Astyanax mexicanus: one gene and its partner. The protein of the gene in region 2 binds, or shares a complex with, the protein of the main gene of each other region. Links are inferred from orthologs where the notes say so. Each region holds a gene or a part of one and is shown on either strand. Other genes may lie near its edges.

What was found.
Region 1: serine-threonine kinase receptor-associated protein (region 2) and gemin2 share a complex: the UniProt entries of both Homo sapiens proteins name them as parts of the SMN-Sm complex. The link is inferred for Astyanax mexicanus from reciprocal best matches to the Homo sapiens genes STRAP and GEMIN2.

What each region holds. Positions count from the first base shown.
Region 1 is NC_064421.1:1,227,998-1,235,561, reverse strand, and holds the start of gemin2 (gem-associated protein 2), read right to left. Parts: upstream 3,016-7,564; 5' UTR 2,920-3,015; coding exon 2,804-2,919; intron 1,276-2,803; coding exon 1,191-1,275; intron 1,089-1,190; coding exon 999-1,088; intron 282-998; coding exon 222-281; intron 1-221. UniProt on the Homo sapiens protein: The SMN complex catalyzes the assembly of small nuclear ribonucleoproteins (snRNPs), the building blocks of the spliceosome, and thereby plays an important role in the splicing of cellular pre-mRNAs.
Region 2 is NC_064409.1:2,001,717-2,009,319, forward strand, and holds the start of serine-threonine kinase receptor-associated protein, read right to left. Parts: upstream 3,010-7,603; 5' UTR 2,777-3,009; intron 1,533-2,776; 5' UTR 1,515-1,532; coding exon 1,403-1,514; intron 623-1,402; coding exon 487-622; intron 325-486; coding exon 243-324; intron 1-242. Other genes in the region: etnk1 (ethanolamine kinase 1), read left to right, coding at 5,451-5,600. UniProt on the Homo sapiens protein: The SMN complex catalyzes the assembly of small nuclear ribonucleoproteins (snRNPs), the building blocks of the spliceosome, and thereby plays an important role in the splicing of cellular pre-mRNAs.

The DNA of each region.
Region 1 (7,564 bases), on a different chromosome or scaffold from region 2:
GTGAGTGTGTTCTGGTGGGGCTTTAGAGGGTGGGGCCAGGGTGGTTTTATGCATACACATGTTTGTTTTTTATATATTGTACATTTAATAGTTTTTGGTGTTTCTGGTGTTTAACAGCTCTCTGAATGACTGACAGGGTTCATTTCTACAGCGTATTGATTAAAGAACTCTCAGGATTGGTACAGAACCCTACTGATCAGTTCTGCTGATCTGCTGCTCACCATCACAACATTATCATCCAGAAACTGAGCTTTCCAGTGCTGCCGGTGTTTGGCCACACTCTGAAACACAAACAGAGAGAGGAGTAACTTTACTTCAGTCATTTAAAGAGAAGAGATATACAGCAACGATTACTGCACCAGTACTGTAGGTCTGTTACAATAATTACAGAATCGATTTATCATACAATATGTGGACACAAACTGAATCATTTTTTGTTTGCTGAAATCATTTTATATATTTTTTGTTCCTTTAGGCAGGAAGATCTTATAAACATGAAGGAGTCTATAAGTTGACTTTGTTCAAAAACAGTGTTTTTATTTTCTTTTGTTTATGTTTTTACAGTTTAGTGTTCTTTAAAACTGATAATTGCAGTATTATGCCATTATATTATAATTATATCAGAGGCATAAAATCACAATAATATTGTTTACTGCAATCATTTCTGGGACACTATATAATCCAAGCAAAAACAGATATTGTGGCAGGTCTACATCTACTCTTTTTTTACATAATAAAAGTCTTCAAAATTGTAAAAAGTAAACCTTGGATTTTGCTTCTCCATCAGGACAGAAGAACATCTATATAACATTTTATTTAACATGTATGTTAAACAAAATGTTACAGAACATTTTTCTACACATTTCAGACAGTTTCTATTTATTTACTAAATTTAACACACTGATAAAAATGTTTATTACAAATACAAAAAATGTTTATTGTACCATTATTATGCTCAGTGATTGTTTTACTCAGATAAGTAATAAAAAGTGTTTTACCTGTCTGACTTCAGAGAAGCTGCTGACCTGCTGCTGCTGCCACTTCAGGCTGGGGGAGAATCCGTGAGGAGCCGTCCGACAGCCACTGAGCTAAACACACACACACACACACACACGTTTAGCATCTCACACACACCATTATATCACACACTCACACACACTTATCATTATATCTTACACAAACACACTTACAGAAACGTTCACTGACTGGTTCTTCCTCAGCTTCTTGGGATCAATCTGAGCTACAACAACATCCGGACACAGAGAAGCTTCACGCCTGTGATACACACACACACACACACACACACACACACACACACACACACATTCATACAACTCAGACTAGTTCTGTGAGGCTGCATCCTAAATCACTCTATGCTCCCTACATAGGGCACTTCAACTAGCCCAGGACAGTGCACTATCCAGGCCAGGGTACGAGGTATAAAGACTTTAGGCAGCTAGTCAGAAGTCAGAATGCCAGATTGCCAGTAGTCAGAATGCCAACTAGTCAGAATGCCAACTAGTCAGAATGCCAGCTAGTCAGTAGTCAGAATGCCAACTAGTCAGAATGCCAGCTAGTCAGTAGTCAGAATGCCAGCTAGTCAGTAGTCAGAATGCCAACTAGTCAGAATGCCAGCTAGTCAGTAGTCAGAATGCCAGCTAGTCAGTATTCAGAATGCCAGCTAGTCAGTAGTCAGAATGCCAGATTGCCAGTAGTCAGAATGCCAACTAGTCAGAATGCCAGCTAGTCAGTAGTCAGAATGCCAACTAGTCAGAATGCCAGCTAGTCAGTAGTCAGAATGCCAACTAGTCAGAATGCCAGCTAGTCAGTAGTCAGAATGCCAACTAGTCAGAATGCCAGCTAGTCAGTAGTCAGAATGCCAACTAGTCAGAATGCCAGCTAGTCAGTAGTCAGAATGCCAGCTAGTCAGTAGTCAGAATGCCAGCTAGTCAGTAGTCAGAATGCCAGCTAGTCAGTAGTCAGAATGCCAGCTAGTCAGAATGCCAGCTAGTCAGAATGCCAGCTAGTCAGTAGTCAGAATGCCATCTAGTCAGTAGTCATAATGCCAGCTAGTCAATAGTCAGAATGCCAGCTAGTCAGTAGTCAGAATGCCAGATTGTCAGTAGTGAGTTGCCAGAATGCCAGACAGTAGTCAGAATCACATGCTAGCTAGTCAGTAATCAGAATGGCAGCTAGTCAGAAGTCAGTAGTCTGAATGGTAGCTAGTCAGTAGTCAGTAGTGAGCATAACAGCTAGTCAGTAGTCACAATGCCAGAAAGAATGTAGTCAGTAGTCAGAATGCCAGCTAATCAGTAGTCAGTAATCAGTAGTCGGAGTCTATTAAGTAGTCAGTAGTTAGGAATACCAGCCCACTTAGCACTTAGCTCTTGGTCAGAATCAACCAGTGCTTAATAGTTAGAATGCCAGCCAGTCAGTTCTCAGTAGTTACAGTGCCAGCCAATCAGCACTCGGCAGCCAGATTTTCATTTTAGCAGCCAATCAGTAGCACTCAGTCCATAAAATGATGACATTAAAATATACATTATTTTAATTTCTCCGCTGTTTTTTTAGTAGAGATATAAATATCCTTTAACTAGTGTTTATAGTTTTCTGTGCTTACACAACTGTGTGTGTGTCTGTGTGTGTGTGTGTCTGTGTGTGTGTGTTTGTGTGTGTGTGTGTGTGTGTGTGTCTGTGTGTGTGTGTGTGTGTGTCTGTGTGTGTGTGTGTGTGTGTCTGTGTGTGTGTGTGTTTGTGTGTGTTTGTGTGTGTGTATAAGAGTGTGTGTGCTAAAAGCTCGTACTGCACGTGTCTCAGGTACTCCTGCGGGTTCCTCGGCGGCTCCTTTAAAGTGTATCCTTCCTCCTCCTCCTGCGCGCGCGGCTCCACCGGCAGCAGTCTGGGCATCAGCTCCTCCATCCCTGTCCTCTATTCACCTGTTCTACACACACACTCACCTGCTCTCAACACACACAGCTCTCCCGCTACTGTTTACCTCACACTGTTCTTCTCCGCCTGCAGCTCACACACACACACCACCACTACCTCCCCCTGCAGGACACACCGCGCTACTGCAGCACAGCTCATATACACACATCACTAAGTAGCTCCTCTTGTTTAGATGATCAGTTTTGAACATCTCTGCTGGATTTTCTCAGTTAGTTTTATGAGGTAGAGTCACCTGGAATTCAGTCTTTCAGTTAACAGCTGTGCTGAACTCATCAAGAGTTAATTACATTCAATTCAATTTTATTTATATAGCGCTTTTTACAACAAATGTTGTCACAAAGCTGCTTTACAGGAAAAACAGGTCCACGCCTCTTATGAGCAGCACCACAGAGATGCTGATTTTATGGTGACACAGTGGCAAGGAAAAACTCCCTTTAAGAGGAAGAAACCTTGGAAGGAACCAAGACTCAGTCCGAGGAACCCATCCTACTCGGGTTGACCCGCTCAGTACAAACAAACAACAAACAACAAACAGAACAAAACAGTACAGAGAATTAATGTGAACTATGGCTAATATAACAGGTACTAATTTATGAATATAAGAATGTGATGGGCACAAACTATAGAGCTATGGCTAATACAGAAACAGATACTGAGTGTGTTAATGGTAATCAGTGCAGGGCTGCAGAGCCGGAGAACAACACAGCGGGCAGTGGAGAGCCAGGCTGGGAACATCAGGAACAGCATCTCCATACATGTAAAAGAGATAGATAGAGAAAACAGAAAGGAAAGAAAGAGAAACAAAAAGCAAGAGTTAGAAGGGTTGTGTAATAATTCTGATTTTTGAGTAGAAGGACAGGGCTGAAAAAGGGAAGAAAAAGGGGTTAGAATGGTTTTATAAAACTCTGCTGGAGTGGGATGGGCACTGGTAGCAGCAGCTCAGGACATGGGGAGAGAAAGAGAAAGCAGATGATTAGGACAGGGTTTATATTTGCTGGATAAGCTGTAAGAGGAAGAAAATTGTAATGAGACATTACTCAAAAGCTTGAGCAAATAGAAATGTTTTGAGTCTAGATTTAAAGATTGAGAGTGTGTCTGAGTCCCGTATATTAATAGGGAGGCTATTTCAAAGTTGGGGAGCTTTATAAAAGAACGCTCTTCCTCCTGCATAGTTTTTTCTAATACGCGGGACTAATAACAGGCCAGCGTCTTGGGAGCGGAGTGAACGCGGCGGATTGTAAGGAGTAAGGAGTTCCTGTAGATAATGCGGGGCCAGACCATTGAGGGATTTATACGTCAGGAGAAGTATTTTATAATCTATACGAAATTTAACAAGTAGCCAATGTAGGGATGAAAGAATAGGTGTAATATGATCGAACTTTCTAGCTCTGGTAAGCACTCGGCTGCATTCTGAACTAGCTGGAGTTTATGGTGTAAACGCGTTGCAGTAGTCCAGCCTGGAGGTTATGAATGCATGTACCAGCTTCTCAGCATCTTCCAGAGAGAGTATACTGCGGATTTTAGCTATATTTCTTAAATGGAAGAATGCAGTTTTGACTATGCTACATATGTGAGCATCAAACGAAAGAATTGGGTCAAAGATGACCCCAAGGTTTCTCACAGTTTTACCAGGTATAATTAAGTGACCGTCTACATCTACAGTATTAACATTTATGTTTTTATCAATATTAGGACCTAATAGAATCAGTATTAAGTAAGAGAAAGTTGTGTGTCATCCAATTTTTAATCTCTTTAATACAGTCTGTTATTTGATTAAGACAGAGGTCCTCATTGTAAAGTTGCGTGTCATCAGCATAGCAGTGAAAGTTAATACCATGCCTACGAATGATTTTACCCAGCGGTAACATATAAAGAGTAAAGAGTAATGGGCCCAGTATTGATCCTTGACGGACACCATATTTTACTCTAGACTCATAAGAGCATTCGTTATTTAAATAAACACACTGGAATTGATCTCTCAGATAAGATCTGAACCAGGTGAGGGCTGATCCTTTAATTCCTATAAGATTTTCTAACCTATCAAGCAGAATAGCGTGATCTACGGTGTCAAAGGCAGCACTAAGATCTAGCAGTACAAGGATGGCAGTACTGCCCCTATCAAGAGCTGAAAGTAAATCATTAGTTACTCTAAGTAGAGCTGTTTCAGTACTATGGTTTTGTCTAAATCCAGATTGAAAAACCTCATGCATACTATTACTTTGTAGATACAAGCGTAGCTGCTTAAACAAACATTTTTCTAGGATTTTGGCTACAAAGGAAGATTAGACATTGGTCTATAATTAGCAAGCTCGCGGGGGTCCAGATTTGGCTTTTTGATAATGGGCTTAATGACCGCCAGTTTAAGAGAATTGGGTACGTAGCCCATGCTAAGGGATGAATTGACTATTTCTAGTAATGGTTTACCCACCTTTGGCAGTGCCTGTTTAAGTCATTGTGTGGGTACTGGATCTTATATACATGATGAATTTCTTGTCTCTTAATGTGTTTGAGAGCATTAGTTGTAAAGTAGTAAAGAGGTAGAGTTGGTATGCAGTAGATAGCTCTATTTGAGTAATGTTCTAATACAGATTATTAGAAACAACAACTACTCAACTAAGTAAAGTGATAGAACTGGCACTCATCCAGACTGCCCCAGGAAAGCGAGAGTTTCCTCTGTTGTAGTTAAAGCTCACCTTCCGTCGTTTTTTCTTTCATTTTAAAATGTCTAGTTGTGGTCTTTAGTATGAATGAATGACATGTGAGCCGTTTTTGTAAAAAAAAAGTGCTCAGGTGTCTCTGTATAGCTCTTTTTTAATGGACTGTTTTAGGGGTGTGTCCAAAATGACCGGATTCCAGCTTTGCTCATGAATATTCATACATGCAAACAGCATGCAAATATCTCTCCTCTGATTGGCTAGGAGCACTGCGACGCCCCTCCACCGCTCTGCCGCTCACTGCCTCCCACCTCCTAACTGATGAGCGGTGATGTTGCGTCGCTTCAGCTCCGCCTCTGGGAGTTTCTCGAGCCAAGGTGGGCTGGTCTGTGAGTTTCTGCCTACGTAGGCAGAAAGATAATTCAAAATTCACCCGTTTTTCGGAGGGGGGGAGGGGGGATTTCTTTGCTTAGCTCCTGCAGACAATGGGGGCTGCAAAACAGTTTAATGTGCAGGTGTACACATTCAACTCGGAGAGACCTACTGTATTCCACAAAAAACAAGAAAAATCGGATTTTCGCGGAAGGTGAGCTTTAACACACTGACCATATAAGAGCACTTTGTGTGTGTGAAGTAGATAAAAAGGATAATCTATAAAAAGGAGGTGGCCACGTTCCAATATATCTTATATTAATATTACTGACGGTAGCCCAGCTATATATATATATATATATATATATATATATATATATATATATATATATATATATATATATATATATATATATATATTATCCCCCCTCTACTCCATCCATTGGTAGAAAGTGACCACCATGGGACCACTGCTGACCAGATGTCATTTTACTAGTGAAGTTAAGTATTGCAGAGCTCATCAAAGCAATGACAAGATTTTCCCCCACAAGCTCCTGATTTTCTCCAGTGTTTCACGCAGAAATAGCTCTCCACCGCCAGCCAATCCCAGCGCAGAGGGCGGGATGTGCCGGAATACAGGTGGGAAAAATGAGTGCAGTCTTGTCTTCATTATAGTTAAGTATTGCAGAGCTCATCACAGCAGTGACATCAATATGATAGTGGCATGTTAGTGAAGCCATCCAGACACATCTAGGACTAGTCAAATGTGCAGGCGCCTTATTTGGCATTGCATTAGTTATTTTCAATGATTTTATTTAATCTTGCTATTTGATGAACTACAGCGAGGACAGTGATTTTTTAGGTTTCCTGGCCAGTGATGTTAATACATACAGTTCACACTGTCAGACACTAATTACACTATCTTAAATCCTGAGATTGATGGTAATAGCACCTTCTTTGACTCTCCTGATAGCAGTGACTGCACACTAAGAAAAGTAAGTACAGATTTGTACTTAAAAGAGTATAAAGCTTGTCGCTGGGGCTGTACCTTATATCGAGGTACAAAAAAGTACCTTTCAGTGAAAGTCCTTTTTTGTACCCATGTTTTTTGTGCCAGTAAAGATTATAAAGATTATGATCATTTTCATCAACTAAATATGGCTCAAAAACTTGATGATCCAAAATTGTCTGGCTTTCAAATGAGAAATGTGCAATTTAAATATATATTGTTTATTAGTACAGTGATACAGAATACTGAATGTACCTTTTGGCTGCAGGTTAAATGGTACAAATTTGTACTTATTGCTGTTAGAAATGACTTTGTACTTTAGAGGGAACAAATCTGACCCTGTAAAGACCAATATTGTACCTTTGAGTACAAAAAAGTACTCATATCGTACCTGTGTTTTTTAGAGTGTGCCATATTTGTAAAAATGAAGACAAAGATGACCTCCATTATGAAAATGAGCTCTGTATCGGACACGGCTAACAATATTTTGCTATTTTAAGCCTAAAACAGAATCTGATCTACCCAAGATCAGTACTTTTGCAGGAAAGGCAGTTTTTGTCTCTCTGAATTAGATAATAAC
Region 2 (7,603 bases):
TTTAAGTGGTCTCTTATTTTACATCCAGAGCTATACACAGTGATATGTAACTATATATATAAAATCCAAACTAAATGTAAAAACTTAAACTTAAAATGTAAAATAAGCTTCCAAACAATTGACCATGTACACAATGCTGTGCTAAGTACCTGTGTATAGGTGTACTGTGTATGTGTTTCCTAGAAGTAGCAAAATAATGTTCCAATTCCTATTGTATTTCTTTATCTCAATTTGGGCGTTACCTGCGTGAAGTTAACAGATTTAACAATGTGCTTGTGTGCCAGGGTGAGGACCTCGTCTCCAGTGACTGCATCCCACACCTTTCTGTAAGACAAGATGACAAAATACACAACTTAGTTACCAGACACAGATGCCGCTCATGCAATGGCACTTGCAAGGGCATAACCCACTATAATAATATAAATATCTTCCAGTCCCTTCGTGGTCAATTTAGAAAAAAGCATAAATACGCCACAATTCACTTACGCTGAGAAATCGGCAGCAGCAGTAGCCGCCTTAGTGGCTTCTTTATTTAAGGTGGCCCCCCAAACAGCACCTTTGTGACCCAAGAACGTCCCAATCCAGTCCCCTGTGTCCCCCTGGCGCAACATCGGTTTGCCATCTGCAAAGACCAAACAAATAACGAATACTGGGAAAAGGCACAAGGTAAACAGACACAGAGATTACAGAATTCTCTTATCATTACAAGTTAACCCATAAGAGCCCAGACTAGTGGGATCATGACTGTAAATATTTTAAGGTTAAACTCATGATGAAACATAAATGACAACAAATTACTAACTATCATTAAGACGAATTTTAAATGGTTAAATGGTTGGAACAGACCATTAGAACCCAATACTACATTTTAAAAGAAGGAGCTATTTTATCTCCAGAACTTATCTCTAAACTTAGTACACATACATCCTGTAAATAGGAAAATGGTGATGAGATGAACGAATACAGATTCACACTCTGGCTGCCCTGTGCAGAAAGTGAAGGACAGTGTTGTAGTGCTGTAAAGATCTTTACACAACTTTTAAAGGGTATGTGACATATATACATCACCATTGGCTTTTTGGGGTTAAAAGATGTGTAATGTTCCTTACAGCAATCTGTCCTTTACATACTTTACAGGACAGTGTGTTAATGTGTTTTCTTAAAGCATGTTTCTTTAACATCTGATGATGACGCAAGTTTCTACAGAAAATCTAATCCTTAATGGTTGTTCGACAGTCATATTCCCACAGTCAGAAACAAACATTAATGAGCTGCTCACTGAATTATCTGATTCAATTTTTATTTTGGTACTTATGGGTTAAAGGGTCTGTGACACACATACACCACTATTCTTTTCACTTCTTTTGAATTAAAATTGTTCACTTGAACAATCCAAACCTACCTTTACAAGCACTTATTAGGAAATAACCATAAGGAGTGATTCCACTGAAGGCCAGATCCACAACAGGTCTGGTGTGGCCTGAGCAGGTGAGCGGAGTCTGCCTCATAGCCATTCTTTAACACAGATAAACCTGGAGAAATTAAAGAGTAGAACTGGTTAGTCACTAAAATACTAACTAACAAACAGCTAATGTTGCCTGATTCTGGACTGAGCTGGATAAGAGAAAACATTACCAAAGACTTACCAAAAACTTAGTTAAAACGCTAAAAACAATATCATACATATTTATTGAAAAACAGTGCCAAAAACAAACGTAATTTAGATAGATCTAAACAGTGGGCTGGCTAAACTAGCTAGCTAACTATCTAGGTAACACCTGCAGTATACAGTTGCCACAGCAGCTAAGCTAGGTTAATTTACTTAGCTAGCTAGCTAACTAACTAACCTAACACACACAGTGTAACTACTGTAGCCACAGTAGCGGAGCTAGTTAACTAGCTAGGTAACTCACGTAATATACAGTAGACTCATTAGCTAAGCTACTTAGCTAGCTAACTCATATAGCGTTAATAAACAAGAGACAAAGTAACGTAGCTAAGCTTGTTAGGTTTGCTAGTTAACACACACTCAGTATAACTTCATTAGCCACAGAAGCTAAGCTAGTTAACTAGCTAGATATCTAACCAACGTAATATACAGTTGACTGATTAGCTAAGCTAATTAGCTAGCCTAGAAAACCCACGTAATATACAGTAGACTCTTTAGCTAAGCTAGTTAGCTAGCTAACAAATATAGCGTTAATATACATTAGACACACTAACGTAGCTAAGCTAGTTAACTAGCTAACTTTGTTACCCTAGCTAACCCACGAAATATACAGTTGACTCATTAGCTAAGCTAATTAGCTAGCCTAGTTAACCCACACTAACATGCTTAAGCTAGATAGTTAGGTAGCTAACACACTCAGTACAACTCCTAAAGCAACAGTAACTAAGCTATGTAGCTAGTTGACAATTATAGCGTTAATATACAGTTAGCTAGCTATAGCGAACACCCTCAGCACACAGCAAAGACTGTAGGTAAGCTAAGCTAACACATTATATTAAGTATATAGTAGACACAGTAACGTAGATAAGCTAGCTAGTTAGCCTAGTTAACCCACGCAGTATACAGTAGTCACATTCGCTAAGCTAGCTAGCTAACACATATAACGCTAATGTACAGTAACGTTACACAGAATAACGTAGATAAGCTAGCTAGTTAACCTAGCTTACCCACGCAGTATACAGTAGCCACAGTAGTTAGCTACCATTAGCTAAGCTAGCTTAGCGCAGTTCAGCTAGCTCTGCTTACCGGTGTAGTGTATGAACCTACCTCGTACAGGCACAGCAAATGAACGGACACGCACACACACACACACACACACACAAGACCTCTAGCCCGGTAAATATATAAATATAGAGGGTTTGTTTCGAGGAGAACAGCGCTGTGGATGGAACTTTAACTCTTTAAAGAGCGACAGCGAGAAGGTGCGCACCCACTGAAAGTGCTGTGCCACCAGCAGCAGCTACAGCTACAGCCAGAGCCCAAAGCGCCGGAGGCCGCAGAGCTCTCACACACATAACGGCACCGACAGGAAACCGCGCTCCACACACACTCTCACACACACCCACACACACAACCGAGCTGAAACAACACACTCAGCACACAGACCCACTGATAATTAATCAATAAATTCACTCAACACATCGTATACTAATTTAATTGCATGTAAAACATAATATTTGCTTATTGAACAGTGTGAATATGTTACTCAGGCAGCGATTAGTGCTGCCTTTTGGTGCTCCTTCAGTACTGTCCTCCTCAACAGTTCCTATCCACGATTATTTTGGTGTTTGCTCCTATTTTGGAACATAAAATTATTATGAAAGCTCATTCCCGCCACCTAAAATTCACTTTTATATTAAGTAAACTGCTATCTCATTATTTGGAGATACTAAGTCATTATTTTAAAATAGCAAGTGATTATTTTGAGACACAAGTCATTATTCTGTGATAGTGTTTGCTTTTGGAAAATTATGAGATCTCAAAATAATGAGATAGTATCTCAAAATAATGACTTACTATCGATAGTGTCTCAAAATAGTGTCTTACTATCTCAATAATAAGAAAAAAGTTTTGTTTTTTTAGGTGTTGGGAATAGGCTTCCATATATTATAAATAAATAATAATAAAATTAATGTAAATCGTAATCGAAAATAACTCAAGCTTTTGACTCAAGTAAAAATACTGGTTTCAAAATTACTTTAAGTATAAAAGTACACAATTTATAAATTTAAGTTTTAAAAAAATAATTATTAAAGTAACCAGTGTAAATATATATTTTTTCTACAGGCTAATATCAATCTTATATTATATAGATTAGAATTAGTTTTTATCCTTTACTTTTTTCTGACTGAACTTAGTATGATAGAGCTGATGTTGGTGAATATTGCTTCCAGCTAACCCTGTTAACTATCAGTTTGACAGTTTGAGTCTGTGAGCGTGTCTTTCCACTTCTTTAATCTCGACTCTATGGAAGCCCATTTCCGCCACCTGAAGAAAAAAAAACGTCCTCAACTAAGTCATAATTATGAGTTAGAAAAGTCATAATTATGGGATAGTAAGTCATAATTATGAGATAGAAAATAATAATTATGAGATACTAAGTCATAATTATGAGATAGAAAGTCATAATTATGAGATGACTTTTTATCTCATAAATATGACTTACTATCTCATAATTATGACTTTTTTATCTCATAATTATGACTTTCTATCTCATAATTATGACTTAGTATCTCATAATTATGACTTACTATCTCATAATTATGACTTACTATCTCATAATTATGACTTACTATCCCATAATTATGACTTTTCTAACTCATAATTATGACTTAGTTGAGGACGTTTTTTTTTCTTCAGGTTTTGGAAATGGGCTTCCATACGACTCAATGCTAATTTCAGCAGCTATTTTAATCTATTTTAGTCCTTCCTTTACTGGTAACCAAACTGAAAAAAAAGTTTCGCAGCATAACCCATCGTCTCTTGAGTTTCAGTTCATAGTCAGATGTCCTGACAGTTTCCTTTAGAATTCTTTGATATCATTTAGACTTTATTGTTCCATCAATAAAGGAGAGCTGTTCTGGACACGATGCAGCAAAGCAGGGCCAAACCATAAAACTACCAACACCATGTTTCACAGATAAGATAAGTTTTTTTTACGCTGGACAGCGTTTTCCTTTCTCCAAACATCATGCTTTTATTTTGGTCTCAACCACTTACAAAACATTCTTCCATTCTTACTTTTTTTACAGCAGTGGCTTTCAGTGTTAATTTCTCCCAAATTCCAAATAAAAATATTGTCTTGTAGAGCATTCGCAGAAAATGAGAAATGGCTGAAATAACAAAAAAGATGCAGACCTCAAATAATGCAAAGAAAACAAGTTCATATTCATAAAGTTTTAAGAGTCAATATTTGGTGGAATAACTCCGGTTTTTAATTAAAGTTTTCATGAATCTTGGCATGTTTTCCTCCACCAGTCTTACACACTGCTTCAAGCAGTTCCGTTTGGTTTGATGGCTTGTGATCATCCATTTTCCTGATTATATTCCAGAGGTTTTCAATTTGGTAAAATTTTTCCAGAGCTGTATATTTAAATTATACATTTTTCATTTGAAAGCCAGACATTTTTTGGATCATTAAGTTCTTGACACATATTCAGTTGATGAGAGCTGAGAGATCTGGGGTCTTCTTCACTCTCTAACTGAATAAAAACTATATTTATAATCTGAATGAGCTCCTAATCCCAGAACTCTGACGCAGTTCAGTGACTCGTCAGATCCGGCATGCACCGCGCGCTGAGTAACTGCGGGGAGGGAGCAGTAGAGGCGGATCCGCGGCGCATTAAAAACTGACCCGCTTTCAAACCCGCACACCCTTCAGCTCCACACCCGCGCGCTCACCTCCGCAGCTCCGCCGCCTGTCCGCCAGCGACCCCCCGCCATGGAGACCAACTACATCCACGTACCGGAGGGCGCTCCCGCCGTGCCCAAACTCAACGTGAGCGTAGACGATCACGACTACAGACCGGGAGCGCTGCGGCTGATCGAGGAGCTCCGACCCCACTGGAAACCAGCGGAGGTCAAAATGAAGGTAACCGAGCGGAGTTTACGGGTTTAGATCTGTTCTGCGCGCGCCTCCCGTTCTTCTGGAGCCGCTCGCGGGGGCTGTACGGAATATAGGCAGGTTATATAAAGCAGGGGGCGCGTGCGGCCGGTCGTGCATCGCCTTACAAGTCTGCGATTGTAGCTGCGTCACCGACTAGTAAATCCCGTACCCGATACAAAGTAACAAACCCCGGGCCGTGCACGATACAAAGTAACAAACTAAGTAACAATGTAACAACCCATCTGCCTATAGATACATATAGCTACACACCCTTCAGGTCATTCTGCAGTTTCGAACCCCTTTTTAAACGTGTAACAAACGGTGTAATACTGAGAATTTTAGCTTCCTATAAACCGGTAGATTCTAAAATAAACATGCTATAACCCGCCTTCACTCTATCTTTAGATTTTAATCATATTTTCTTCAGAATTTGACAGATAGACCACACAGAGTAGCTATTAAAAGTATATACAGTCGTGTCTTATTATTCATTCAATGATAACATACACTCCAGAAGCTCTGTGTCATAAAAAATAATTTAGGTTCTGTTCAGGTAAAAGTGCGTCATTATTAAGGAATAAACCACTATCAGCACCACTGGGTCAAAAACGGGACATAACATTTTAGTGTCCCCACTTGATAGATGTTATGCCCTGTCATAATAACAGGTTTTTGACCTACAGTTCAAGTTGCAGTTTCACACCCCCTTTTTTAAACGTGTAACAACAGTGTAGCACTGGGGATTTTATCTACCTGCAGATGCGTAGATCCTAAAAAAAATGTTAATAACCAGCCTTCAAGGTATCTTTAACTTTTAATCATATTTTCTTCAGATTCTGTCAGATAAATCACACAAAGTAGCTATTAAAAGTATATACAGTCATGTATATATTATTATTCATTCAATGATAACACACACTCCAGAAGCTCTGTGTCATAAAAAAGGAATTTAGGTTCTGTTCAGGTAAAAGTGCGTCATTATTAAGGAATAAACCAGTTTAAGAAGCCTCTAAAAGATACCACACAAATGTTTTACACATAAGAGACATTATTAGCTAGACTTGTAGTACATACACTCAGAAACTGCATTCATTGTAAAGAGTTTTACCCCCAAAATATCACTATCACTATCAGCAACACTGGGTCAAAAACGGGGCAGCACTGAATAAATGTTATGCCCTGTCATGATATCAGGTTTTTGACCTGTATACAGGTCATGCTGCAGTTTCAACCCCCCTTTTTAAATGTGTAACAACAGTGTAACACTGGAGATTTTATCTGCAGACACATAGATTCTAAAATAAACATGCTATAACCTTCCTTCAACGTATCTTTAGATTTCCATCATATTTGCTTCAGATTTTGTCAGATAAACCACACAGAGTAGCTATTAAACGTATATACAGTTGAGTACGAGTTCCTTCTAGAAGTTTCTTCTTATTCATTCAATGATTACATTCATTCCAGAAGCTCTGTTCCCTATAAAATAAATAAATTAGAACATAAAGAAAGTCATTTAGGTTTTATTCAGGTTCTGTTTAGGTGAAAGAGCTACTTTATTATAGAATAAAGCATTTAACAAGCCTCTAAAGGATACCACACAAATGTTTTACACATAAGAGACATTATTAGCTACGTCTGTAATACATGCAGGGTTTTATGATGCAAAAATATATTATTTTCCCCCCAAAAAAATCACTATCACAATTGTCACCAGTGGGTCAAAGACAGGACGTAACTTTTTAGTGTCTCCACTTGATAAATGTTATGGCCTACAGGTCATCCTGCAGTTTTACACCCGCTTTTAAACATGTAATAAACAGTGTAACACTGGGGATTTTACATGTTATAATCTGCTTTCAGTATCTTTAACTTTTAATCATATTTGCTTCAGATTTTGTCATATAAATCACACAGAGGAGCTATTAAAAGTATATACAGTTGAGTACAAGTTCCTTCTAGAAGTGTCTAATTATTCATTCAGTGAT